Linked DNA regions of Mus musculus. The protein of the gene in region 5 interacts with the protein of the main gene of each other region in a pairwise test. Links are inferred from orthologs where the notes say so. Each region holds a gene or a part of one and is shown on either strand. Other genes may lie near its edges. The genes, in order: Traf3ip1, Sfr1, Trio, Trim9, Exoc1, Ccser2 and Kif5a.

What was found.
Region 1: the proteins of Exoc1 (region 5) and Traf3ip1 interact in a two-hybrid assay, tested with the Homo sapiens proteins (2 studies listed by BioGRID and IntAct). The link is inferred for Mus musculus from reciprocal best matches to the Homo sapiens genes EXOC1 and TRAF3IP1.
Region 2: the proteins of Exoc1 (region 5) and Sfr1 interact in a two-hybrid assay, tested with the Homo sapiens proteins (2 studies listed by BioGRID and IntAct). The link is inferred for Mus musculus from reciprocal best matches to the Homo sapiens genes EXOC1 and SFR1.
Region 3: the proteins of Exoc1 (region 5) and Trio interact in a two-hybrid assay, tested with the Homo sapiens proteins (2 studies listed by BioGRID and IntAct). The link is inferred for Mus musculus from reciprocal best matches to the Homo sapiens genes EXOC1 and TRIO.
Region 4: the proteins of Exoc1 (region 5) and Trim9 interact in a two-hybrid assay, tested with the Homo sapiens proteins (2 studies listed by BioGRID and IntAct). The link is inferred for Mus musculus from reciprocal best matches to the Homo sapiens genes EXOC1 and TRIM9.
Region 6: the proteins of Exoc1 (region 5) and Ccser2 interact in a two-hybrid assay, tested with the Homo sapiens proteins (2 studies listed by BioGRID and IntAct). The link is inferred for Mus musculus from reciprocal best matches to the Homo sapiens genes EXOC1 and CCSER2.
Region 7: the proteins of Exoc1 (region 5) and Kif5a interact in a two-hybrid assay, tested with the Homo sapiens proteins (2 studies listed by BioGRID and IntAct). The link is inferred for Mus musculus from reciprocal best matches to the Homo sapiens genes EXOC1 and KIF5A.

Annotation. Positions count from the first base shown.
Region 1 is NC_000067.6:91,501,168-91,504,667, forward strand, and holds part of Traf3ip1 (TRAF3-interacting protein 1), read left to right. Parts: coding exon 1-257; intron 258-3,500.
Region 2 is NC_000085.6:47,730,276-47,734,555, reverse strand, and holds the start of Sfr1 (swi5-dependent recombination DNA repair protein 1 homolog), read right to left. Parts: upstream 2,801-4,280; 5' UTR 2,748-2,800; coding exon 2,735-2,747; intron 1,927-2,734; coding exon 1,568-1,926; intron 1,038-1,567; coding exon 645-1,037; intron 1-644. UniProt on the Homo sapiens protein: Component of the SWI5-SFR1 complex, a complex required for double-strand break repair via homologous recombination. Acts as a transcriptional modulator for ESR1.
Region 3 is NC_000081.6:27,732,999-27,735,848, forward strand, and holds part of Trio (triple functional domain protein), read right to left. Parts: intron 2,582-2,850; coding exon 2,381-2,581; intron 647-2,380; coding exon 508-646; intron 33-507; coding exon 1-32. UniProt on the Homo sapiens protein: Guanine nucleotide exchange factor (GEF) for RHOA and RAC1 GTPases. Involved in coordinating actin remodeling, which is necessary for cell migration and growth. Plays a key role in the regulation of neurite outgrowth and lamellipodia formation.
Region 4 is NC_000078.6:70,267,615-70,271,114, forward strand, and holds part of Trim9 (E3 ubiquitin-protein ligase TRIM9), read right to left. Parts: intron 587-3,500; coding exon 448-586; intron 1-447. UniProt on the Homo sapiens protein: E3 ubiquitin-protein ligase which ubiquitinates itself in cooperation with an E2 enzyme UBE2D2/UBC4 and serves as a targeting signal for proteasomal degradation.
Region 5 is NC_000071.6:76,532,311-76,535,810, forward strand, and holds part of Exoc1 (exocyst complex component 1), read left to right. Parts: intron 1-444; 5' UTR 445-454; coding exon 455-578; intron 579-3,243; coding exon 3,244-3,374; intron 3,375-3,500.
Region 6 is NC_000080.6:36,937,765-36,941,264, forward strand, and holds part of Ccser2 (serine-rich coiled-coil domain-containing protein 2), read right to left. Parts: 5' UTR 3,462-3,500; coding exon 2,048-3,461; intron 1,017-2,047; coding exon 820-1,016; intron 1-819. UniProt on the Homo sapiens protein: Microtubule-binding protein which might play a role in microtubule bundling.
Region 7 is NC_000076.6:127,239,364-127,242,863, forward strand, and holds part of Kif5a (kinesin heavy chain), read right to left. Parts: intron 3,444-3,500; coding exon 3,295-3,443; intron 2,744-3,294; coding exon 2,568-2,743; intron 535-2,567; coding exon 466-534; intron 18-465; coding exon 1-17. UniProt on the Homo sapiens protein: Microtubule-dependent motor required for slow axonal transport of neurofilament proteins (NFH, NFM and NFL). Can induce formation of neurite-like membrane protrusions in non-neuronal cells in a ZFYVE27-dependent manner.

The DNA.
Region 1 (3,500 bases), on a different chromosome or scaffold from region 5:
GAGACGGAGAGCGAGAGAAAGCCCGAGCACGGGCCAAGGACAGGGACAGAAACAACAGAGACCGGGACAGAGAGGCAGAAAGGGACAGGGAGAGGGACAGGAGGAGCGAGGGCGGGAAAGAAAAAGAGAGGGTGAAGGACCGAGACCGAGACCGTGACAAGGGAAGAGACCGGGAACGGCGGAAATCGAAGAATGGAGAACATACCCGGGATCCTGACAGGGAGAAAAGCAGAGATGCAGACAAGCCAGAGAAAAAGGCATGGTCACTATCAAGACGCCCTTTTCTTCTTTCAGATTTATTTATTCATTATTCTTATGTTTATGTGTGTGCTTGAATGAATGTGCGTGCACCATGTATGTGCAGGAGGCCCTGGGGGCTAGAAGAGAGCTTCACATCCATCCTCTGGTGCTGGGGTTAGAGGAGGTCCTGAGCTACTGTGTGGATGCTGGGAACCGAGCCCAGGCTCTCTGCAGGAGCAGCCAGTACTCCTAACCCTGAGCCATCCCTCTAGCTCCGATGCCTGTTCATGGAGAGTGTGCTGTGCTCTGTAAAACAGCATCTGCCCTGCCTTTGCTTTTTAAAATACTTTTTATTTTTAATTTTTCTCTATTTGTGTGTATGTGCAAATGTATGTCATGTGTGCTAGAGACACACAGGTGATTATGACTTGCCTGATGTGGGGTGCCGAGAACTGAACTCTGCTTTACAGGAGTTAGCAGGGACTCTCAACCACAGCGCTCTCTCTCCAGCTCCTGAACCTGTTGTCTTACTTAGGGTTTCTGTTGCTCTGATGAAACACCATGACCAAAATGCAAGTTGAGGACAAAAGAGTTTATTTGGCTTACATTTCCAGATCATAGTCCATCATTGGGGGAAGTTAGGACAGGAACTTAAGCAGGGCAGGAACTGATGCAGAGACCATGGAAGGATGCTGCTTACTGGCTTGCTTCCCATGGCTCCCTCAGTCTGCTTTTTTTTTTTTTTTTCTTCTTTATTTTGGTTTTTTGAGACATGATTTCTCTGCGTAGCCCTGGCTGTCCTGGAACTCACTTTGTAGACCAGTCTGGCCTCGAACTCAGAAATCCGCCTGTGCCTGCCTCTGCCTCCTGAGTGCTGGGATTAAAGGCGTGGGCCACCATGCCTGGCCAGTCTGCTTTCTTATAGAACCCAGGTGCCCAGGGAGACCACTGCCTACAATGGGCTGGGCCCTCCAGCATTGATCACTAATTGAAAAAATGTCTTATAGCTGGGTCTCATGGAGGCATGTTCTCAACTGAGGCTCATTCCTCTCTGATGACTCTAACTTGTGCCAAGTTGACACACAAAACCAGCCAGGACATCTGTCATCCTTATAATAGGCTTTGGAAAACTTGGAATTGTGAACTGTGGCTGTGTTTGATTTCTTGACATAATCCAAAGAGGTACCAGTTTCTTGCCAGGTGTCTGTTTGAAAAAACTTATTTATTTATACTATAATTGTTGTTACATGTGTGTACATGAAGTATGTATAGATGTGTGTATGTGCATGCCACAGTACGGAGGCCAGAGTTGGTTCTCTCCTAGCCTTTAGGCTACATTCTGAAGATTAAACTCAAATTGCTGGGTTTGCATGAAAAATGCTATTACTTACTGAACCATCTCATTGGCCCAGTTCTTAAAAACTTCCAATGTTTTTGTCACTTACTAATAGTAGCACAACCATTTAACTCAGTATTCTTCAGTCAGTTTTCAAACATATTTAAAATATCCCTAAGCACACACTCTGGGTGGTACTTATGTTCACTCTTGAGTTCCTGGCCTAATAGAGAACTGGCACATAGAAGGTATGCAGTAGACATTAGATGAAACAGAGAACCAAACATCCAGGCAAAGGATGGTGGCGTTTCAGGTCTCAGGTCTTTGGATGGTGTTGATCAGTTGGTAGTAGCTATGAAGTGTTTGGAGTGCTAGAAGACAATTCCAGAGAGGAGGCCAGGTAAATACTGCTGTCAGATGTCTTCTGTCCTCAGAGGTTGACAGTTCCCTGCCAGGCCTGTAGAGAAAGTAGCTGGGAGCAGGAGCTGTCATTGGTGCCTTGCTCTGTCTTGCTAGATCATTCAAAGGCCCTTCACCTGCTGTCATTTGTGCATGTGTCCTATCCCATGTACACAGCTGGCATCAGCTGTATGTGTGGGCTCCTCGGAGCCTGGACAGGACTGAGCTTAGTAAGAATTAGAGCTACTTTCAAAGGTCTTAACACATTCTAAGTGTCAGAAGACTTATTTTCCTGTAATTCCTGCACAATGGCATTTCAGGTAAAATTAAGGTTGGCCAGGGATTCCTTTGGCTTCTTTCTCATTGCTTCCTTAGTCTGGTGACTTTGGGACCAGCCCTGTGTATGGGTTGCACACCAGTCACTTTTCCCATTGCTGTGACAAATCCCTGACAAGAAACAGTTTCCAGGAAGGTTTTCCTTTGGCTTGTAGTGCCAGGGTCTAGTCTGCTCTAGTAGAGAGGACATGACAGCACGCCCTAGAGACTTGGTTGAAAAGCAGCTCACCTTTTCCTTCATTCATTCTCTTTCTGGGACCCCAGCCCATGAAGCACTGCCCGCCATAGTTGGTATGTCTTCCCAGTTCTGTTAAGTCTAGATAATCCTCATTGCATGTCCAGAGGTCCCTTTTCCAGGTAACTCTAGAGCCCAGTGGAGATCAGCCATCCTAGGTCCCGACTCCTTTTCCAGATAACCTGTATGTACAGAGCATCCTAGAGGGGACTGAGAGCTACCTGATCTGCAGCTGCTGGCCAGAGGACAGTCAAGATCTGGGCTGGTTCTAAGCCCGTCTGTGGCAGTATCTTGCTGTGGGTTGCATCTCAGTGTGGTTGTTAGCAAGAGGAGTGGGCTCTGTAGGTTCAGCCATGTTGGCATTCTGTCACTTCTTGTCTGTGGCATGGTGCAGTAAGATTGCTGTGGTCTCATTGGTAGTTGTGTTTAGCATTCTGCCGGGCACTTGGGTGTTTGCTATTTAAGTCACATTTTAACCTCCCCAACACATCCCAGGGTATTGTCCTCAGGGTCATAATGTACCTGTGTCACAGTAACCTGGGTTCCTTCCTGAGTTTTGGGAATCATCTATATCTTATCATTGCCTCTTTTTAGTGGCCTAAGAAAATAGTTTTCCTTGAGCTGTGTTTTTAGAGGCACTAGTGTATTCTGGTGTATTTTAGCTCTGAGGCAGTCCCTCATAGGGACAGCCTTCCTCAGGTCTGACTCCAGAGCAAGCCTCTCCACGACGTGCTCACTGGAGCTGCTGATGCTGTGAATGGTTCACAGAGAAAGGCAGTTCCAGAGAGGGCGGTTTACATAAGAACCAAGTGCAAGGGATGGTTTTGTTTCAAAGGAATGGCCACCACAGTCAAGTGACGTCCGGTTTACTGAGGTCTCCTTATGGTTTTGTCTGGCTGGCTCTTCTGTTGTTGATCTGGGGGTACCTTTATTGAGCTCTGTGGGTCTGGGAAA
Region 2 (4,280 bases), on a different chromosome or scaffold from region 5:
TGTACCGCAAACTTCTTAAAGGTAAAAATATTCAAGTTTAAAGTATTTTCAACATTTTATTCAGTTACATTTAGAAAAGTCCTAAAAATTCAAAATCACATATAAGACATGCTATTCTGTCACTTACTCCAGTTTTGGGATAAAATGAGGTGTTACCTGGGTAAGAACTACAAAGATAATAAATGTCTCCTTCTAGACATCCATGTTCTATTTTACTCAACGTGTGTAAGCTGAAACCTAAAATCTGTTTTCCCAAATAAAATGCCTGACATTTATGCAGGATCGTTACTGAAAGTACAGCACCTTGCATTCTGTGGTCCACTTTTAGTTCTAACACCATCGTGCTCTGTCCCCCTGCATCTTCATGGAACACCTCTCACTTCTCATCTTGCTACTGGCTAGAAATTAAGGCCAAAACGCTCCACCTGTGCATTAAACAAAACCCTAAGCTTTTAAGTTTTACCTCGTGTTGAAGGGGTTCCTCAGCCTCACTCTGAACCAACTACTTCTATTTCAGTCAAAGCTCTTGTAACCCGGGTTTCTGGTTATCTGGCTGATTGTTTATCAAACTAAAATGTATCTCCAATTTAGAAACTACCGCAGTTTATGTAAAAATGATGTAACGGTTCTAAGATTCTTCTCACCTTTATTCTATACATCTTGACTAACTTTAACCTCCGAAGAAGGTCTTCCTTCTCTTCAACCTGCCTAATCAATCTTATTTTTTCTTGTTTTAATTTTTCTCTAATGATCGCATTCTCAGACTCCTTTGGGAGGGCATTAGATGACCCAGTATCCGACGACTTAGATTCACACGTGTTTTTCTCCTCTGAGCTCTTTTCTCCAGGCTCACTGTCTTTGTTTTTCAAGCTTTCTTGGGCCTTTGAACAATTTTCTTCCTTTGAAGATTCTCCTGGTTCTGAAAGGGTCTCATTATTTTCGTCATTCTCTACCTTCATACGCTTCACCACACTACAAAATGAATGAGATGAAGATCTTGCTTTCTTTAACCTTTCTTTAGGTGTTCCACTCAGAGGCTGAAAAAGACACAAACATCAAAAATGTTAAGGATACATTCTTGTAGTAAGTCAATCTATTAAAAATAAAGGCTATATGCTTCTACGATAGGTACAATGGATGGCTTTCTGTTTCCACAAATCTCATGCGAGCATCACCAATGTCTCTAATATCCAGAGGCTACCTATAGTCTTACTTTAGCAAGGTTAACTAAAATAGGACTGAGACACTTCGCCTGCCACTGGCAGCTAGTATTTGCCTGATAATACTAGAAATGCTTCAGAACTATAAACTAAGGAGAAGACCTGCTACCAAAGACTTCCCCCTAAGAAATACTGTACAGATTCAAGTTTCCTTGGTTTGGAGCATCGCAGTAACCTCATAAGAAATTAAACAAAATGAACCGATTCAAGAAGAAAATCTTGGCAGTTAGAAAGGTATGAGCTACATATTAATTCACACTCCAGTAGCCTTAAAACTGGCACTATCAGAATACTCTGGAACAGAACAGATGGGGGTGGGGGATAGAGGACAACACAGATATCCATACTTGTTTTCCTGAACTATTCGAATGGGGTGATGGTGGATTCTCCCTGGGCTGAGGAGCGGCAGGTGAAGTCGGGGGTGATGGTGGATTCTCCCTGGGCTGAGGAGCGGCAGGTGAAGTCGGTGGTGATGGTGGATTCTCCCTGGGCTGAGGAGCGGCAGGTGAAGTCGGTGGTGATGGTGGATTCTCCCTGGTCTGAGGAACGGCAGGTGAAGTCGGTGGTGATGGTGGATTCTCACTGGTCTGAGGAGCGGCAGGTGAAGTCGGTGGTGATGGTGGATTCTCACTGGGCTGAGGAGCATCAGGTGAAGTCGATGCTGAATCTGATGAGTTTTCCATCTTGGAAGTGAACTCCTGATTTCCTTATCAAAAAGAAAAGACGCGAATGATAATCAAATTATCTCAAAACAGACCTCAATTTTTCTGAACAAAATTTTCTTCAGTGAACTAAACACCAAAAATAGTCAGCCATTTCTTCCAATTACATGTAGCTATAATTTATTCTAATTCTTCTCATATTTTCCATTTACCTCTCCACATGGGGAAGTAACCAAGTCCTGTTTCTTTCACGACAAATAAACCAGCTAGTATCTCACTGTCTTTCTTTTTTTCCCTTCAAAACACCCCCAAAAATTTGCGTTTCAGGAAGGGGAACTATAACTAGTCAAGAACTTTAATTTTTGTTATAATTTCGTAAATAAAAGCAATACAGCCTGAATCTTGACTCTTAAAAGCTTTGCGCCTAGAACCAAGAACGAGTCCCGAGGTGTCAGAAAGCAGCATCTGCCCCTTTGGGTTTACTATGGTCAAAGACTCCGCCCTCCTCCCCAGCCCCGTCCATCTTCTCCACAAAGCCCCGCCCACTCTCCCTCCCCCTTTCCCCTCCCTCCTCACCACAGAAAGCCCTCCCCCCGTCCCCGCACCCCACTCAGCTCCCCCTTTCCCCACCCCGTCCCCCCACCACAGAAAGCGCGCTCCCCCCAGCTCCCTTCTCTTCAGCAACCCCGTAGCCCTCCTCCTCCACTCCTCCGCCTCCCTCGCCACAGAAAGCCCTCTATCCCACAGAGCAGGAGGCCGAGCTCCCGCGACGCCGGAGAGAGCTTCTCCGTCAGATACCCAGACACCCGCAGGCCTGCCGCTCAGGCCAACCCCAGGGAGAAAGCTCAGTACCTTCCTCAGCCATGCTCACAGCGGCGACACACCGTACACACAGCCAGCGGAGCGCCCGCAGCCCACTGACCTCGCCCCGGGGGCGGAGCCTCACCGGAGAAGAGACGTACGATTGGCTAGCTTGGCCGGAGCAGGCGGATGTGCTCCGTACAGCTCCGACTGCGCGTGCGCGGCGGGCCGCGGGCCTGGGCCACGGGGCGGAGCGGGGCCTGGCGGGAGGCGGGCGCGGCTCGTGATTGGCAGGGCTGGCCGGCGCGCTCCAGGGCTCGGCTACGCGCGCGCGGCCGCCAGCCGTGGGGTGGCGTCCATGGAAAAAACGATGTTAGGCCCTTGGAGGGGCCTGAGGGGGGCGCGCTTCCGCTCGCCACTGCCTTTGGGAGTTGCGGTGCCAGCTGCCTTCCCGAGCAGCTTCCCTGGTGGGGTTGGGGGCGGGGTGGGTATCGTCAGGGTGGCGCGCCCGAGAGCACCGCCCTCTGGCAGCGCTCGCCCCCTGGCAGGCTCGGCTTTCCCCACCGCAAAGGCTTTTCCTCAGACGTGGCAGGGCCGGAAACCGCGGGGCCCGCTCGGCTCCCTGCTGGCTCGGAGTCTATGTGGGTGTCTCTGCATAAACAGTAGAGGGCATCCCCAGCCTGCCTTGCGGACTCGCCCCCTTATTTTGGTCTGTGCCCACCTCTGCTTGGCTTCACATGTTTTGGTCAAATCTGAGAAAAAAATAACCTAAGGAAGTGTATTATGGCGCAGAACAGGAAGCGGGGCGCGGTCGATCCGACAGGTTCGGACTAGAATTCAGATATTTGAGAACTAAACCCCTTGCTTGATCCTGCCCCCCCCCCCCCGAGGCCCCTTGCTAGACCCTGGCTCGACTCCTGGGGGTGCCCCTTGCTAGACTCTGGGGGGCCCCCGGGAGGCCCCTTGCTAGACCCTGGCTCGACTCCCGGGATGCCCCCTTGCTAGGCTCTGGGGGCCCCCAGGAGGCCCCTTGCTAGACTCTGGGAGGCTGCACGGCCTTCTAGTGTTCAGGATGTTCTGTTGCTATGCAACAGCAAAATGAACTAGCTTGGGTGGAGCCGTGGGTGTAGAGAAGTTGAGCTAACTTGTGAGTCACTGGGAAGTTTGTAATAAGGGACAGCTCTCTTTCCGAATATCTGCTAATAGTGGCTTTAAAGTAACCCGAAAGAACTGATTAGACTCCTAGGCGGTCAGTTAATAAATACAGAACCTAAAGGAACTTAATGAGGTGATTAGATCTGCAGATGTTGCAATTGCCTAGATTAGAGTCCTGGCACCACGGTTTCTTCTTTGGTTTGTTTTTGTTTTGTGCAATGGAGTGTAGTGTGGCCGTGGACCTCAGTTCGATGGCTTGGTAAATGAGAACAATATTCACCTCCTAGAGACAGGGAAATTCAATGATAATGTATGAGAGGCAGCTAGAATCATGCAAAACACCAAAGGAACATTTAGTCAAGCATATTCGTCATTCCCTAATTGACTTAAAGCAATGTCTCACAAGCTTTTATCCCTTACCTTTCCCAAAAGCACGGATTTT
Region 3 (2,850 bases), on a different chromosome or scaffold from region 5:
GCCAAACTCTGATCCACCAAGATATTCTCAGGCTAGAATGTAGGAGGAGACACCGTCATTGGCAAACATCCCTAATCCATGCTCAATCTGACCACTGTCAGGATCCTCTGGAGAGGCAGAAGTTAGCCACACAACTGTCACCCAAAGGAAGTTCTTTGGACCAGTGAGGGAACAAGCTGGAGAGGAACAGCCCCCTAGGAGTGGCTCTCAGCTTTAGGGTCCAAATAGCCTAGCTCAACACTGTCTCCTCTTCCCAAGGCACCCTCAAGTGGGTAGATTCCATGCCAACTTGGCAGCACTGACAGGAGCTTCCTAAACATCTCCTGACCCAACAGATTGAACTACCAGTACTTCCTGGTTGAGTTTACTGAAGGCAACTCAGGGAAAGAGAATTTGCCCCAGTGTCCTCCTCTCCCCAGCTGCCTCCAGGCTCAGGCAGGGAGCAAGGCTCTAGCATCCCATGTGACCTATCTAGACCTGTCCTTGCTCAGCCCCGGGCCTGCCAACCTTTAGGTCCAGGTGTGCTATCCTGCAGTTGTGAAGGTATCGGACGGCTTCCAGAACTTCCCCCAGGTGCGCTCTGACCTTCCCTTCGGTGAGGCTTCCCCACCGGACCACACAGTCAAGGAGGCGACCTTGGTCAGCCCTACAAGGTAAGAAGAACAGTTCTCATGATGCCTTTCAAGTCACAGGCCATTTTAGGGAGACATCAACCCCATGGTCTCAGGACTGTACCTCCACTGCATGCCATGGTACAGGGAGGGGGTTCTGGCCCCCTCACTGAGATGATCCAAGTGGGTAATGGCTGGGGGAGAGCTGCAGCCAGGAACTGCAACCCTGTTGTCTGTTGCTATGGCAAGCTGCTGGGCAGTGTCTATGCACGGATGTAGATAACTGCTGGAATAAGGAAGGCATACCCACTTCACTTAGCCTACACCTCCTTCCTGACATATAAAGCACGCCACATGGAGACAGATGAGGTCATGCTGTAAAAAGCCACATGCTAGGGCAATAGATTCATGCTTAGTCAAAGCTACCCTAATCTGAACTAACTTTTAATATTAAAAAAGTACAAAGTTCTAAGCCTAAACTTTAGTAGTGTCTATTCATCCGACCTTGGGTGTGTCATTTTCCTGTTTCAAAGATGAGGAAGCAGAGGCCGAGAAAGCACACACATTTTCTAAGGTTTCATGGCTCATGAACAGCTGTTACTGGGTGGAGACCGCTCTGCACACCCGCTGTTCTCAGAAGAGAAGTTTATAGGAAGACAGACCACCTGCCCAGCAAGGAATGGTCATTACTGAGAAATTTTGACCTGCTCTAGTGAAAATTAATTCTGTTAATAGTCTGATGAGGCTGCACCAGGGTGGTTAGCTGAGAATGTCCTCCATATACTTATATATTTGAATGCCTGCTCTCTAGGAGGTCGAACTGTTTGGTGGAGGATTAGGAGGTGTGGCCTTGTTGGAGGTGTGTCACTGAGGATGGGCACTGAAGTTTCAAAAGCCCACACCACTACCCCTTAGCAGCCCCCCACCTCACCCTTCCTTGTGCTTATGGATCGGACAGATGGAAGTGCTCCATGCTGGCCTGCCTGTCATCATGCTTCCACCTGTGGTGGTCATGGACTCTAACACCATGGAATGGTGAATCATTAAGTTCAATGATTTCTTCTATACAATGTCTTGGTGATGGCGTTTTGCCATGCAATGTAAAAGTTGCCCAGAGATACATTATGCAACTTTCTAATAAAAAGAAATAAGAACAGGGCACCTGGGGGTGTGGCCGGTGATCTGGTCCTTGCCAGGATATATAAGGCACTGGGCCCAACTGTAGATTCACAGTGGATGGTCCAGGAATGTTGAAGGGAATGTGCTTATTTTACAGTTGAAAGAGGTGCCACTTTAGACCAAGGCTGTGGTGACTTCTGACAAGGACGTAAGTGAGTTTACTTGTTCAGAATCCCTGGGGAAGGTGGGCAGTAGCTGCTTGCCATCAAGCTTAGCCAGACAGCCTCCAAGGCATGTGGGCTCAGACGGTGGTGGCTTTCCACACATACTGCACCGTTCTAGCTCCTGACAGTCCGCCAATAGCTGTGCATTTAAAGACATCGAGGATGAGGAGCTGGAGCGATGGCTCCCTCATTAAAAGCACTAGTTATTCTTGCAGGACCCAGGTTTGATTCCCAACACTCAAATGGTTTTGCCGCGACCAGAGTTTCCAAAACAGTAGTCTCTAACGACGAACCTATGTCTGTAGAACTCCTACGAATGCTAAAAGCTCAGAGCCCATTTCTTTTTCTCAGAGAACAATTGGGATCAGCAAAAGTGCCGGGAGCCAAGGTGAGGGAAGGCAGGGAAAAGGAAGGCTGAGTACGCACATTTCCAGAACCAGGACGTAACTGGTGGGGGTCTCGAAGGTGTCAAGAAGGCTCACGAGGAGGGGGTGCTGCAGGTTCTGCAGGATGCCGAGCTCATGAGTGACCTGGTCACGCTTCATCAACTTCTTGTTCACAAACTTTGTGGCCACTGCTCGTTTGGTTCCCTTCTGGTCACATTTCTTAACTACAGCAAACCTGCCCCTGTAAAACCCATCATGAAGAGATTACACGGGGCCATGTCCGTGGGATGGTGACGTCTTTGCTGGGTCGTGTGGAAAGGATATGATGGTTCAGCCATTGCATTGCCATTCCCTCCTCACCCCACCCCTGGCCCCCAACGGCAGCTCCACTTCTGATGCTGGGACCGGTCAGACCCTGGACTTCCTGACTCCTGAATGAGGTGAAAGGGATGGCTCCAGAGAGTCTTGCCCTCACCATGCAGTTTCTACCTTCAGATCCTGGAGAACCTC
Region 4 (3,500 bases), on a different chromosome or scaffold from region 5:
ACGTTCAAGTCATACAGATCTACAGCTGGGAAGAATCTAAGTTCCAGCCCCGGCAGGAGCAAGCAAGAGCTATAAAGACACGGAGAATCATGTGGGCAAAAGCAGCCACCGGGGTGGCTTGGTGGAGAAGGGGAGCCTGCTCTAGAGCCTAGGAACCTCCATCTTAGACACCGGGGGCACATTCAGGCTTGCACGTTCAGCTTCTTCCACTGTAGCTTAGAGTGGTAGCAAAGGAAGCCATTGGAACTGCTGCTGTGGGGTCTCTCATCCGCATCTCACGGGGCCTTCTAAAGGCAGGAGAGGGACACAGCGGCTCTGGGGCCGGAGACAGTGCAAGTCATGGAAAAAACTTGAGGGATGTGGTACTGACGGGGTTACCTCCAGGCTGCCAGCCACGTTAGACGCCACGTAGTTCCCGCTCTGAGGGATACTGCTGAAGGGCCTTACCCTCAGACGTCTGGAGGACCAGTGTCTTGCTGTAGGGGCTGACTCCTGTTTTGTTGAAGGCCTTAACCCGAGCGTTGTATGTGCTGTTGAAGTGAAGGCCGTCCACTGTGCACATTGTTTCTTTTCCAACATACACTTCCTGCCAACAGAAAACAGAACACCATTCAAGGTGAGCCGCCTCGTGAGGAACAGGGAAGGAAGTGATGCCCAGTGGTTAGGTGGCAGATGCCATGCAGGAAGAGCTGCAGAGGGCAAGTGAGCTCGCTGGAGAGACGGCCCACAGCCTTGCTCCGCTGGGATACTGTTGGCCGAAATGTCCCAGGCTTGTCACATGAATAGCATTTGTGGGCCACGCCTACCTGATTAAAATTTTCTTTTCTTTGATTAGTAAGACACTGGAGTAGTGGTCTGACCTTGTAAGGCGGCTGCAATGGCCACACCTTGAAGATATGAAGGAGCAGCCTCAGCACATTAATAAAATAAAAAAAATATTTTCAGATATTTTTAATGTCCTTAGAAGAGATTGACAAGTGGGTGTAGCATTCTCAAAGGTCAGTTGTTTTAAAACAGTATGTTTTGACTCAGAGTTAGGATCCATTCTTTCTACTGCCTCTGTCAGCCGAGCAGTAAACGCCTCAAAAGGTTCCACCAATTTCGTTACATATTAGCAGAGCCTTTGGTATTTGTGCCTCCCATAGACAGGCACCTCTATGCTTCCGGGACTGCAGCTGACTCTTTTCTTTTCTTTCTTTTTCTTTTCTTTTTTCTTTCTTTTTCTTTTCTTTTTTCTTTCTTTTTCTTTTCTTTTTTCTTTCTTTTTCTTTTCTTTTTTCTTTCTTTTTCTTTTCTTTTCTTTTTTTTTTTTTTTTTTTTTGGTTTTTCGAGACAGGGTTTCTCTGTATAGCCCTGGCTATCTTGGAACTCACTCTGTAGACCAGGCTGGCCTCGAACTCAGAAATCCACCTGCCTCTGCCTCCCAAGTGCTGGGATTAAATGCTTTCGCCACTACCGCCCAGCTAGACACTTTCATTAGAGCTTTCTTAGTCAACCTTAGCTGAGCTGCTGAGCCATTCCTCTGCACCCACAAACATTTCGTATGCTAACTCTTGCCCCTCTTTTTTCCAGATATCTTAGACAACTCTTTAGGAGCCAAGGTCTCATATATAGCCATCCACAGTAAAAAAAAAAAAAAAAAAAAAAAAAAAAAACTTCACCTAGGCAGGCTTTAGCTACCTGAAACCAATAATGAAGGGTCATAAGTAGTTTAATTGGCAGGGATTCCCACGAGGGATCCTTATTTCCTTCATTGTTCTTATAATCACCAGGAAAGTAAGTTAGGAACACAGTTTTGGTATCTGCCTAATCCAGACCTGAATCTATGAGTTGTTGGGCTGCTCACTTTATTGCGTACAGCCTCAGTTACCTAATCCATAAAACGGAGACATTAATACCTGTTTTTCAAGATGGGCATGAGGGCAATCTGACTTTATATATGTAGTTATTATAGTTTAAAAGGGCTCAGTAGCTTAACCGTGACCAGCAGCTAGGATTTAAAAGGCCGTAATTGGGAGTTTGTGGCCAAGGTTATGCTTATACTTGGTGTTTATAGAGAATGTAACACCTTTATCCATCAGTGTGGCTTATAAAATGCATTTTTGAAAAACATAAAAACATGAGGGTAGTCTATAAGCTGTGTTTCCAACCGACACAAGGATTAGCCTCAAAGCCAGCCATAGGCATGGAGGTTTGCACCACAGTATGGCGGGTAGGGGGAGGAAGGCAGAATGACATTTCAGAGGCTTAAAATAAAGCCTCGCATAATGCACTTTCCAAGCAGGCTGGGGACTTGCTTCCCTCCTCAGCCCTACTCTTTGCAAAGGCATGCCTGATGTAATGAGTAAAAGCATCGACATTTCAAAACACAGCTCTTTGCTGTGGTCCTGGATTAGCCATGGACTAACTCAGTCCTGCTGCAGCAGGTAGGGAAACCTGCATGTGACACTATTCCATTCAGAGATTCTGAACATTTGTGCACGTGAATCACCTATGAATCGTACCACAATACAGTTTTTGTTCCTGCAGGTCCCTGAGGTAGGGTCTGAGATTTTGCATTTTTTTAACAAGTCCCAGGATGAAGCCAGTGCTGAGTGACCCCTTCTTATGGTGGCCATGGATTAAGTAGAAGGGACCATCTGAGAGCCTCAGTTGACTAGAAGGGGCCAGGAGCTGACTTCATTTAATCCTGAGCCCTAAGGAGAGAGGAGGCAGCTGGAGCTCTGAGTTTGAGTGTAATGTCTGTGAAAGGGCAGCTGGAAAAGAAATTTAGCTGTGAGAAAATGAGTGGCTTAGTTTAAACGTTAAGTTTAGGCTAGTTTCAAAGTGTCAAAGTGGAAAATTCTCCACAGGTAGAAATCCGGCCGACTATCAGAAAAGATATGGAGCTGAAGACAGATAGGGAAGTTCTCAGCATGAGTGGTGGTAAGGCAGGTGGCAGGAGAACGAGAGATCTTGGAAAGGCAATAACCTGAGGTGATAACCAGACATGATGAAAGAAGAAGCGATTTCAGGGAATGAGGAAAACAAGGACAAAAGAAAAAAGAAAGAAAAGAAAACAAACAAACAAACAAACAAACCCAATAATAAGAAAAGAAAGGCCAAGAAAAGGAAACAAGAGATGGGAGAGAGTCTTGAGGAGAACTGTAGAAGACACCTCCTATTGAAAGTACGTATATCTAACAGAAGAAAACCAGTCAGGAGGTGGCAGCCTTCATAGTCTTTGCTCTTGGAAGCTAGTGGGCCCTTGGCTAGTGACTGGAAGAAAATCTCATCTTGTGGGGTTTATGGCTTGCTTTGCACAGGTTCTCCTCTTCAGCAGGGCTGACATGGGCTTCAGTACCCAGAATGATGCTCCTTTAGGGGGTCCCAGCATGGGAGCTTCCAGGAGTGAAAGTGCAGAAAGACTGGGTGGGGTAAGTAGAAGGCAATCCGTGAGTGTAAGAGAGGAAGAAAGCTCTCTCTGTCTCTGTCTCTCTGTCAGTGTGTGTGTGTGTGTG
Region 5 (3,500 bases):
ATTCCACCAATGGGTGAAGCTGTCTGGTCAGTGAACTCCAGGGATCTGCCTGTCTCTGCTTCCCCACTGCTTGCTATGTGAGCTCTAGAAATTAAACAAGATTGGACTTGTGTCCTCCACGTACTAGGAAACACTTTACCAACAGAGCTGTTTCCTCAGCTCTGTAATGAATAATTTTTAGTATATTTATTGGTTATTTGTACTTGTGTGTGTGTGCTTGCATATTTGTATATATGGGTAGTATCTTGTGTGTGTGTGTGTGTGTGTGTGTGTATATATATATATACTGGTTTCTCTGATTTTATTTCCAAACTTGAAGCCCCATGCTTTTATGTTGTAGATGATTAATATATTTATGTATTAAGAATGTATCGTTCAAGTCATAAATGGAACACTTTATGAGGGAGGGCAGTGGTTTTGAGAATTATTCTAAATGTTTTTCAGCTGAGAAAAGATGACAGCAATCAAGCATGCGCTGCAGAGAGATATCTTCACACCAAATGATGAACGCCTGCTGAGCATCGTGAATGTCTGCAAAGCTGGCAAGAAGAAGAAGAACTGTTTTCTGTGTGCCACAGGTAGGTGGTTATTAAGCAAAAATATGTACTTGATACCTTCCTTAGGTCATACTCTCATTGTTTCTATAACTGGGAGAGTTATTGGGCTGATAAGTTAATTTTAATTGTTAATATTGATTGCTGGATGCTGTAAGAGAATTTTTATAGTGTATGTCTAAGGTGGCTGACAAGGGAAAAGGAGGACTCCGGGTGCGCAGTGTAGGGTGACAACAGCTCTTCTTTACCCCATTCCTTTCTGCTCTCCAGTGGTCAGTGTCTGGGATCCTGCATCTTACCACATTCCCCATGTGTAATTTCCATTTACTTGTCTTTAAACGTTTAATAAATTGAATTAAAATTCCTTGTGACCCTTCCCATTCAGCAGTAGATTCATGAGAATTTCGTTTTATTCTGGAGTTTTTATTGTTTTGTTTTTGAGACATGATTTCACTCTGTATTTCCAGCTGGCCTGGAGTTTATATTGCTCCACCCGCCTACGCAGTCTGCTAGCACAGCTGGCCATGAGTTGAATCTGTTCTTACACAAGGCTCTAACACCATCATAGTCACTGCCATGGCAAGCTCCGCTGTGAGTGTCCCATGGTCCCCATACCCACCCCACCAGGGTGAGCAGTAGGTTTGTGCCTGAGCTTTGCTGTTTAAACAACTCGTCTGTGAATGTGTTTGTGCTTGTCTTGTGCTTACACACCAAAATTATTTTAAGGCAGATTCTTGGATGTGGATTCTGCTCTAATATGCAGTTATTTTTAAAAGGGATGCTTTTCATTCCCACAGCAGTGTGGTTGGTTACCTTGTGTTCTCTACACCCTAATCAACAGTTGCTTCTGACAGACTAGTTGTCAGGATGGCAGCGTGACATAGTATCTGCCTGTGGTTTTGAAATGCACTTTCCTGATTAATGATGGGGTTGAGTGTCCTCTGTGAAGTGACTGGCCGTTTACTTGAGTAATGTATGGTTTCCTATTGGATTGATGGTCATTACCCAGATTTGTATAGTTGTTCTTAATTATGATTATCTGGGTAGGTATTATAAGATAGATCTATTAGCTGCATAGATATTTCTATTATGTGGTTGTATACTTTCTGTTTTGTGGCTTATCTTTACACTTTTTGTGGTTACTCTTAATGAAATTTAATTATCATTAAATAAAATTACTTTGATGCTTTATGGTTTTTACTGCATTATTTTGTAAAGGTTTTGATTCACTTGTGTCTTAGAGAGTGTTGTGTATTTGTATCTGTCTGTCTGTCTGTGTGTGAATGAATGAGCACATGTTTGTATTTCACGATTTTTTTTCTTAAATCTCATTTTGTTTTACTTTGTTCTTTACTCTTTCATCTTAATTTTAGAATCAACTTCTTAAGTTCCAGATTCTGTTGTGTTTTGATTGGGATTGTTTTTAAGCTATCTTTTAAGTTGTAGGGAACTTGCATTTTTATTAATGATGATTATGCCCATAAACATGTTTATTTTCTGCTTTTATAAGCCTTGCTGTTTTCTTTAAAAGTTTCTTCCTTTGGTCTGTGTGTTGTTACCAGTTATAATGTAACTTGATGAAACAAAATGGTACGTTTTATAAATGCCCTGTTTGCCAGTATACTGGTTTAAAATTTTGCATTCATGTTCCTCATTTATGTGTAGTTTTCTTCTCGATACCTTCGGCTGGTTAGCCATAGTTATTAAATAAGCCAGTACATGCCCCTGGTGTCCTCACTAGAATAGTTGTGTGTTTGGAGTTATTCTCTTCTTGCAAACTTGGCAGGAGAAGCAGGTAGCAGTGCTGGACTAGTGTGGGAGGTGGGGTGACGGCACAGTTTTGCCCAGCAAGTGTAGTTTAGTGCGTATCTTCCCCAAATATTCTTTAGTCCAGTGGTTCTCAACCTTCCTAGTGCTGCTACCCTTTAACACAGTTCCTCATGCTGTGGTGACCCCAAACATAACATTTTTGTTGCTGCTTCATAGCTGTAATTTTGTTTTCTGTAATATCTGTTTTCAGATGGTCTTAGGTGGCCCCTGTGAAAAGGCCTTTCAGCCCCCAGGTTGTGGACCTCTGCTTTAGTCCATTTGGGTATATTAAAATTTCTAAGAGAGTATTTGGGGGTTTGTTGTTTGTTTGTTCATTGTTGTTTGGAAAGCCATTTGCTTTTCAAATGTATCAGCATTTATTTCAAATCTAAACTCCATTCTTACGCCAGAGTTGTATTTTGGAACCTAGAGCCTGTAATTTCTCCAATAGCATCCCTTGCTGCCTCCGCTGGAGCCCTCGAAGAGCTGAGCATCCACCCTTTGTGGTAACTTCATTCCTATCCACCGCATATTACGCCGTGCTGTCTGTGTTGAATACTTCCTGTTGCTCTTCGTGAAGGCATTAGGCTCTTTCAGGACTCTCAGACTTATGCATATCAGTCACTAGATCTCTGTTCTTACACTCTGTAAGAGAGGCCTGAAGCTTTACCTCTCGGGCATCTCTCAGCCTCCAGCTCTCTAGTCTGGTTTAGATGCTTCCTTTAGGACTCTGTAACGGCCTCGGCTGACTTTTCACAAAGCATTGCCTTACTTCAGTGTTGCCGTCCAGGTTCCCAAGAGCCACATTTAGAGTGTGTGCAGGAAGAATGAGTCGGGGACTGATAGGCTAACAGTCGTGTCTGTGTGCTTTGTTCAACAGTGACCACTGAACGCCCCGTGCAGGTGAAGGTGGTCAAAGTCAAGAAATCCGACAAGGGAGATTTCTACAAAAGGCAGATTGCTTGGGCCCTGCGAGACCTTGCTGTGGTCGACGCCAAAGATGCCATCAAAGTAAGTTTTCCACAGTCCTTTGCTTGTGTTCAGGAAGAGTCTTTCTTGTTCCATAGAGCAGTGTGTGTCCTGAGATGGTCTAAGCTTGTTCTGTGGCTGCAGGTCTGCCCCCTGCTAGTCTAAAAT
Region 6 (3,500 bases), on a different chromosome or scaffold from region 5:
AAGCTTTGCTGCCTGAAAGCCAGTTAGAATGTTATATATTTATAAACCAATTTGATTTGTGAGTATTTCTATTTCATAACCTAAATAATTACCCTGAGCCATTTTAACCACACCAGTTGCATTTTATTAGCGTGTCTGTATCTAAGTTGCTTGTAATGTTTTATAAAAGAACTATGCATTAATATGTGGTGGCACTTGTAGTTCCCTCTTTCCAGACACAGGGAGATTATTTTCCTATCCCCTTAGTACTTATGTGGGACCACAGACAAACTGATTTTCAAGTGTGAATGAAAACACCAGAGCCACTTGCAGGCCAAATTAGATACTGCAAGGGTGTGACTGACAGTCCTGTCTCCTTCTGTCTTGGTAATAAGGGCTTCAAAGACAAGGTCAAACCCAAAGCCAAAGCAGCTTAGGTCATTATAGGCAGCTGTCCTAGAGAGTCGCCCAGACCTACAAAAGACTTTGTTAAGAATAAAAGCCAAAACCTCCCACTGTATTAAAGGCACACTGGACTGGCGACAGAATGGTAGGTAGTCCATCAGCACAGCCTACCCAGATACTTGGTCCTGGATCAACTGGTCCATCAGTCCACCACTCTTTCTGTAGGAAGCGCATGTTAAGCACCATCCCTGACACCCCTTCACCAAGGGGCACTTCTCAATACAGCAACTAAAAGTGTTGTAGATGTCACGTTCTTAGCTTAACTTAACCAATACACTAATGCCTTTATAATAAATTATGTATGTGTGTATTTGTATGTGTTTGTATAAAGAAATAAAAAGAAATCTCCCAAAGGGTAGAGAAATCCATACATACTATGCTGTTCATTTCAGAGGACTCATAGCTGCCAACAGGATGGACACTCCCAATGGGCTCCAGGCCCTCTTCATCCCACATGTACGTTCCATCAGAGCTATCGGACGGAGAGAGTTCAAATGAAGACCCAGCTCTGTAATCCGTATCCGGTGAAATCAAGTTGTTTCCAGATGTATGCTTTGTACATTCACTCCTGTCTTCAAATGATTTTAAAAGAAAGAAAAAAGCGTGAATTTATAAAACACAGTCATTTCTCATTTCTAAAATATAAGCTCTAATAATCCAATCTATTATAACAGCATTTGGTTCAAAAACTATAACTGTAGCATTTTCCTAAATACTAAATAAACTTTTTTTTGGGGGGGAGGCAAAGTTTTCAAAATAAGCCACTAAAACATTTTGTAATAAACATAAAATTCACTCATTTTTTTACATCTTCACATTCCTTTACTATTTCTTAAGGTATTTATTTCATTTTAACCACTGTTTAGGAAACTCTCTTCCTCTCTACAGACTACTTAATCTCACAGATATGTCCTTAAAAGACAACTTGTTCTAGGCATCTTCCAGTTTATAATGCCTGAAGACAGTTTAGTGCATCACTATGAGTGAGCCAGTCCCTTGACTAGACATGCCTTTGTGCACTCCCTTTGGGCTTCTTTTTCTGGGTAGATGAACAAATGACATTCATCCTGCACTAAGTTCCAATATAGCCAAGTCTAATAGGCATTCACTCTCCCTCCTCGGTACCGTCAGTAAATAATGCTTCAGTGAGTAGTACCACATAAGGACTGCTAAACAGAACTGTTCCCGAGGATAGAAAGCTTTCAACTAAACAGGCTTATGTTATCTGACTTGTGTTTGATATAGCTTGACTCCTAGCAGACTGCAATGATGGCTACGGCGAATGGTGTGGTTTAGCGTTTAGTGGCAAGCCACTCCCAGGCAGAGTTGGGAAAACTGTCTGGAAACCATGGCCTACACAATGCAGGACTTGGCATGTATAAGACAGCTCCCAAAAAGGCAAAGTATAAAGAGTTTAACTGATTCTATCCTAGAAAATAATGCAAGATGGAAACAAGCCGCAAGGTTGCTGCTCTGCTGCGCTCTCCTCCAGCCTGAGCCGCCTCAGTCAAACAGCGTCTTACAGTCTATCAAGGCAAGGCTAAATGTTAGCTCTGCTGTAATCACCAGGGAAAGCACGGAAGTTAAGGATAGCCATATTTACCAGAGACACTTATATCTATCCACTCTTCAGCTTTACTGAAGGCCTGCTCACTTTCCTTAGGAGAATCAAATATATCCTTTGATGGTCTGCTCTCATGCTTTTCTTCTTTGAGAGTCATTTCCTCTGGCGTTATTCTAGTTCTGTTGGAGTCCTCTAAGTCTATGAAATCATCGCTGAAATCTTCACTTAAATCATTCTTGTCGGAAGACGACAAGGACGACAAGGAAATATCATCCACGTCATCGCTCAGGTACCTAACTTTAGACTCGTTCTTCCCAGTCTGGTCATTGTCTCTTCGGTAACTTTCATTTTCAATTAGTTCTTGGTCCTTACCCGGAGAGCTGTCCTGGGCTGAAACCATACCTTCTTCCTCTACGCACATGTCAGCAGGTGGGTTTTTATTACTGTCAACTGTCATGGGCCCAGAAAATGGAGGTCGGCTAGATTTCAGTAGAGGGGGATGAGCCATCCTATAAACCAACGTGGACGAGACAGCGGGGCCATTGGATAAGGCCAGTTTCTTTCCAGCAGCAGCATAAGGCCTATTAAAACCAAACCCCACATGTTCGTTCCCATTGAGTACTTCTGACTGCAGAGAACTTCTTGTTAGCATACCTGACCGGAGAGGCACTCGAACGGGGAGCTGTTGGTTCTGATAAGGCTTTGTAAGGTCTACAGCTCTGTTGAAGGAATGCGATCTGGTTATAGATGAAGGTGGAAGGAAGACATTCTGAATGGAATGTGAAAAACTTTGTGACCTTACCATTTTTTCACAAGTGATAGATTTAGCATTGTCTGGGGACTGTGCTAAGCTTTCTCCAGAACTACTTCTGCTGGCACAGGAGTTCACTCTTGGCTTCTGCACGTTACCAGAAGATCTGTTCCCATAAAACGCATTCAAATGTGACTTCGCATTGACCGAAGAATATGAAGTCCTTCCTAGTAATGTGCCTTTGGTAAATTTACCCAAATTAGATGGTCCAGAGAAAGATTTTTGACTTAACTCCTCTGCCGATGACACAAACATGGTTGATGGTCTTGCTAACTTGGATGTGAACAAGGAAGCACTTTTCAAACCTCCCTTTATCCCATGCCCATCCAGCGTTCCTGGAGCAGGTGCATGTTGTTCAGGCTCAATTAGTTTATCATGTGTACTTTGAATATTATTAAGTTCTGCTGTATTTTGTGAACCAAGTTGATATTTATTTGTTTTTCTCCAATTAAATGAATGGGACAATGAACAATCAGAGCCATTATTTTTTATGTAACTTTTGACATTACTACTCTTGGAGGTCCCTAATAAAGTCACAGTGGCGCCATTTGGCATCGGCTGCAATGTACTTCTCACAGATTTCATTCCATATTTCGGCAGCTTGGAACCCAAAAATGTCTTGATTTGTGTTTTTTCTTCCATGGGCTATAAGGTGCATTGGTTCTTAAAACTTGACAGAAT
Region 7 (3,500 bases), on a different chromosome or scaffold from region 5:
CGAGTGGACACGAGCAGCTTCGGAGAAGAGGCAGGGTATTCGAGACCGCGCACTGTCTGTGTGCGCGAAGTTCCAACACCCCAACCCGGCACACGCTTGGAGTACACGTCAAGGGGCAGAGAGCTCCAGGCTTCGTTAACCGGAATGGAAAAGCACGGGGCTCTGTCACCTGGACTTAAGAGCAACCCGGCTGGTCATTACGTCTGTTTTAGATAAAGCTTCATGTACCCAAGGTTTGTAGCCAAGAATGGCCTGCACTTCTATCCTGATCACAAGTGTGCACCAGATGCCAGGTCTATGCCACCGCCACTGTTTTATGCTCTGCTAGGGACCAACCCCAGGGCTTCATGCATGGCACGCTCACACACTACCAACAGAGCTGCATCGTCAGCAGCTCTGGCCCTGGGTTAAAGGAGTGTTGCTTGATTGGCAGGGATGGAGACCATCCCTCACTCTGACCGTTACCTCTTCCTGGTCCAGCATCTGCTGCTTCAGCTTCTCAATGAGCTGGCTCTGCTGGTTGATCTCATCATCCTGTCAGAGATGAGAGGGGATGTGAGCGGCTACTTCTCCCAGTTTAGGGTGCTGGGATGGGAGGGAGAAGCCAGAACCCCTAAAATCCCGAGTCGGAAAGCTCACACATAGAAAGGAGGCCTTTGCCCTGTTTCCCTAGGGGGTGGCAGCACCCTTTCAGTCTGTCTGGGACAACCTTGACACCACACAGCTAAAGTTTACACATCCATACCCTCTGGCCTGGATCTCTCCTATTACCACTCCCATATAGCCAAATCATTTAAAAGCAGAAAAATCAAAATAGGGCTGGAGAGATGGCTTTGTGGTTAAGAGCACTGACTGCTCTGCCAGAGGTCCTGAGTTCAATTCCCAGCAACCACATGGTGGCTCACAACCATCTGTAATAGGATCCGATGCCCTCTTCTGGTGTGTTTGAAGACAGCAATGGTATACTTACATAAATAAATCTTTTTTAAAAAGTTATTTAAAAAAAAAGAAAGAAAGAAAAAACAAATTAAAACTTTAAAACTTGTGGGTATTTTATTTTATTTTGGTTTTTTGAGACAGGGTTTCTCTGTGTAGGCCTGTCTGTCCTGGAACTCACTCTGTAGACCAGGCTGGCCTCAAACTCAGAATCCACCTGCCTCTGCCTCCCAAGTGCCAGGATTAAAGGCATGCACCACCATTAAATATTAAGTGTTGCCCAGCTTGTGGGTACTTTCTGAGACAGAGTCTCGTGTAGCTAAGGCTGGTCTCACAATGTGGCTGCAAATAACCTGCAACTCTTGATCCCCCTGCCTCAACCAAATAAATAAATACAGACAAGTGGAACCTTGGCCAGGATCATGGTGTGTATATGTGTTAAGACTCAGTCTCACCATGTAGCCCAGGCTGGCCTAGAACTATGTATCCCAGGTTGGCCTCAAATTCCCAATCTTCCTACCTCAACCTTCTAGGTGCTGGGATTATAGGTAGGAACAGCACACCTGCATCATCATATGATGTGTGTGTAAATCTTTTAAAATATTTTAATTTTATTATTTTATGTGTATGGGTATTTCTTGTGCGTATGTGTCTGTGTACCCATGTGTGCCTGTTGCCTGCAGATCCAGAAGAGAGCATCAGATCCCCTGAAACTGGAATTACAGATGGTTGCTAGTGCCATGTAGGTGCTGGGAGTCCAACCCAGGTCCTCTGGGAAAGCAGCCAGTGTTCTTAACCGCCAAGCCGTCTCTCCAGCCGGAAAGCTTATGCATAATAACCAAATCCACTTTGGAAAATGGACTGGATATCTATTTGAATTTTTTTTTCCAGACAGGGTGTCCAGGCTGGCCTCAAACTTCTTATGTATCTGAGGATTGCCTTGAGCTAGCTCCCAGTGCTAGGATTACAGGCGTGTGCCCCCATGTAATGTGCCTGGCATTACACGCTGCTGGAGACTGAACCAAAGCTTTGTGCATTCCAGGCAGGCACTCCACCAAGTGAACTAGCTCCAAACAGACATGTTTATGAAGAACTGTTAATGGGGCGGAAAACCACTTGTAATGTAATGCTACCTAAAAGACTGGAGTCCATCAGGGTGGCCGCACTGGTAACCCCAGCACCAAGGAGGCTGAGGCAGGAGAATCAAGAGTTTGAGGCTCACCTAAAATGTGAGACCATCTAAAAGAAAGCTACTAGGTGCAAATGACTCCAACTGTATATATACCTCAGCTGCACGATACCCGAAGAGGGGTTAAACATTAAGTGTTGTCTCTACGTGATAATGACCAGTATTTTTCATGTTCTTTTATTTTTAAAACTCACTTTCCACATCATAATGGTTGTACAAACCAACTTTTAGACCAGCTACAGTGTGCGTGGACTTGAGTGGTGTGCGCACAGGGAAGTCAGAAGCACTTGTGGGCGTCACTTCTCTCCTCTCACCAAGTGGGACCCTGGATGCAACTCAGGTCATCAGGCCTGGCAGCAAATGCCTGTTCCTGCTGTCTCACTGGCCCAAACTCTGTGACCTCGCATGTCAGCCTTCAGCTCCCTACACAATGCGAACTCACCTTGTCATCAAGCTGCTTGTAGAGACGGCGGATCTCTTCCTCATATTTCTGCCTTTCCTCAGGTGCGATGCGTACCACAATGGATGAGTTGTCATTCACAGGGGTCTCCTCGCAGAGCTCAGCTCCCAGAGCTGAGTCCTCTCCAGCCAGGCGCTCAGTCTCAGGCACATTCTCTCCTGACAGACGGACAGGAGAGGAAAGACCGTGTGGATGTTAAAATCATCAACCCCACAGTATCTAGCAACAGTATCTAGCGTCACCTATGCGACAAACCTCTGGATGTCTAAGAGGGAGTTTCCAGACTGAGTTAGTTCAAGTGAGCAGATCCACCTTAAATGTGGGCAGCACTGTGTAGATCCACCTTAAATGTGGGCAGCACCAGGCAGATCCACCTTAAATGTGGACAGCACCAGGCAGATCCACCTTAAATGTGGGCAGCTTCCTGACTGCAGCTGCCTCTTGCTCCTGCCACCACACCTTTCCCTGTACTCTCAGACTGTGAGCCAGCGTAGACACTTTCATCCCTGAATTGCTATAGCTAGGTGTCATGCCACAGCAACAGGGCAAGTGGCCTGAGTCCACCCTGGCAACTCCCCAGAGCCAGGATCTCCAGGCCCTCAGGCTCCGTTCCCACAGCCTTGCTTCCAGAGGTTGCTGGCCTTAAACACTCCTAGACAGGGCTGTCCCGAAGCCACTGTCCCTCACTCCCATAGGATCCCGCTCTAACCATTGCGCCACCGGCTAAGCTCAGCCTCTAGCTTCGCAATTGTCTCCTTCTGGGCCTTGGTCTTCTCCTTCTCCTTCTCATACTTCTTCTTCCACTGCTCAGCAGTCAGCTCCAGATTCACTGAGGCAGTGTTCTTGATGGTCTTCGCCCTGAGCAGAGAGAAAAACAAAGGTGAGACTCCAGGCAGTCCTTGGTGATATGGTGTG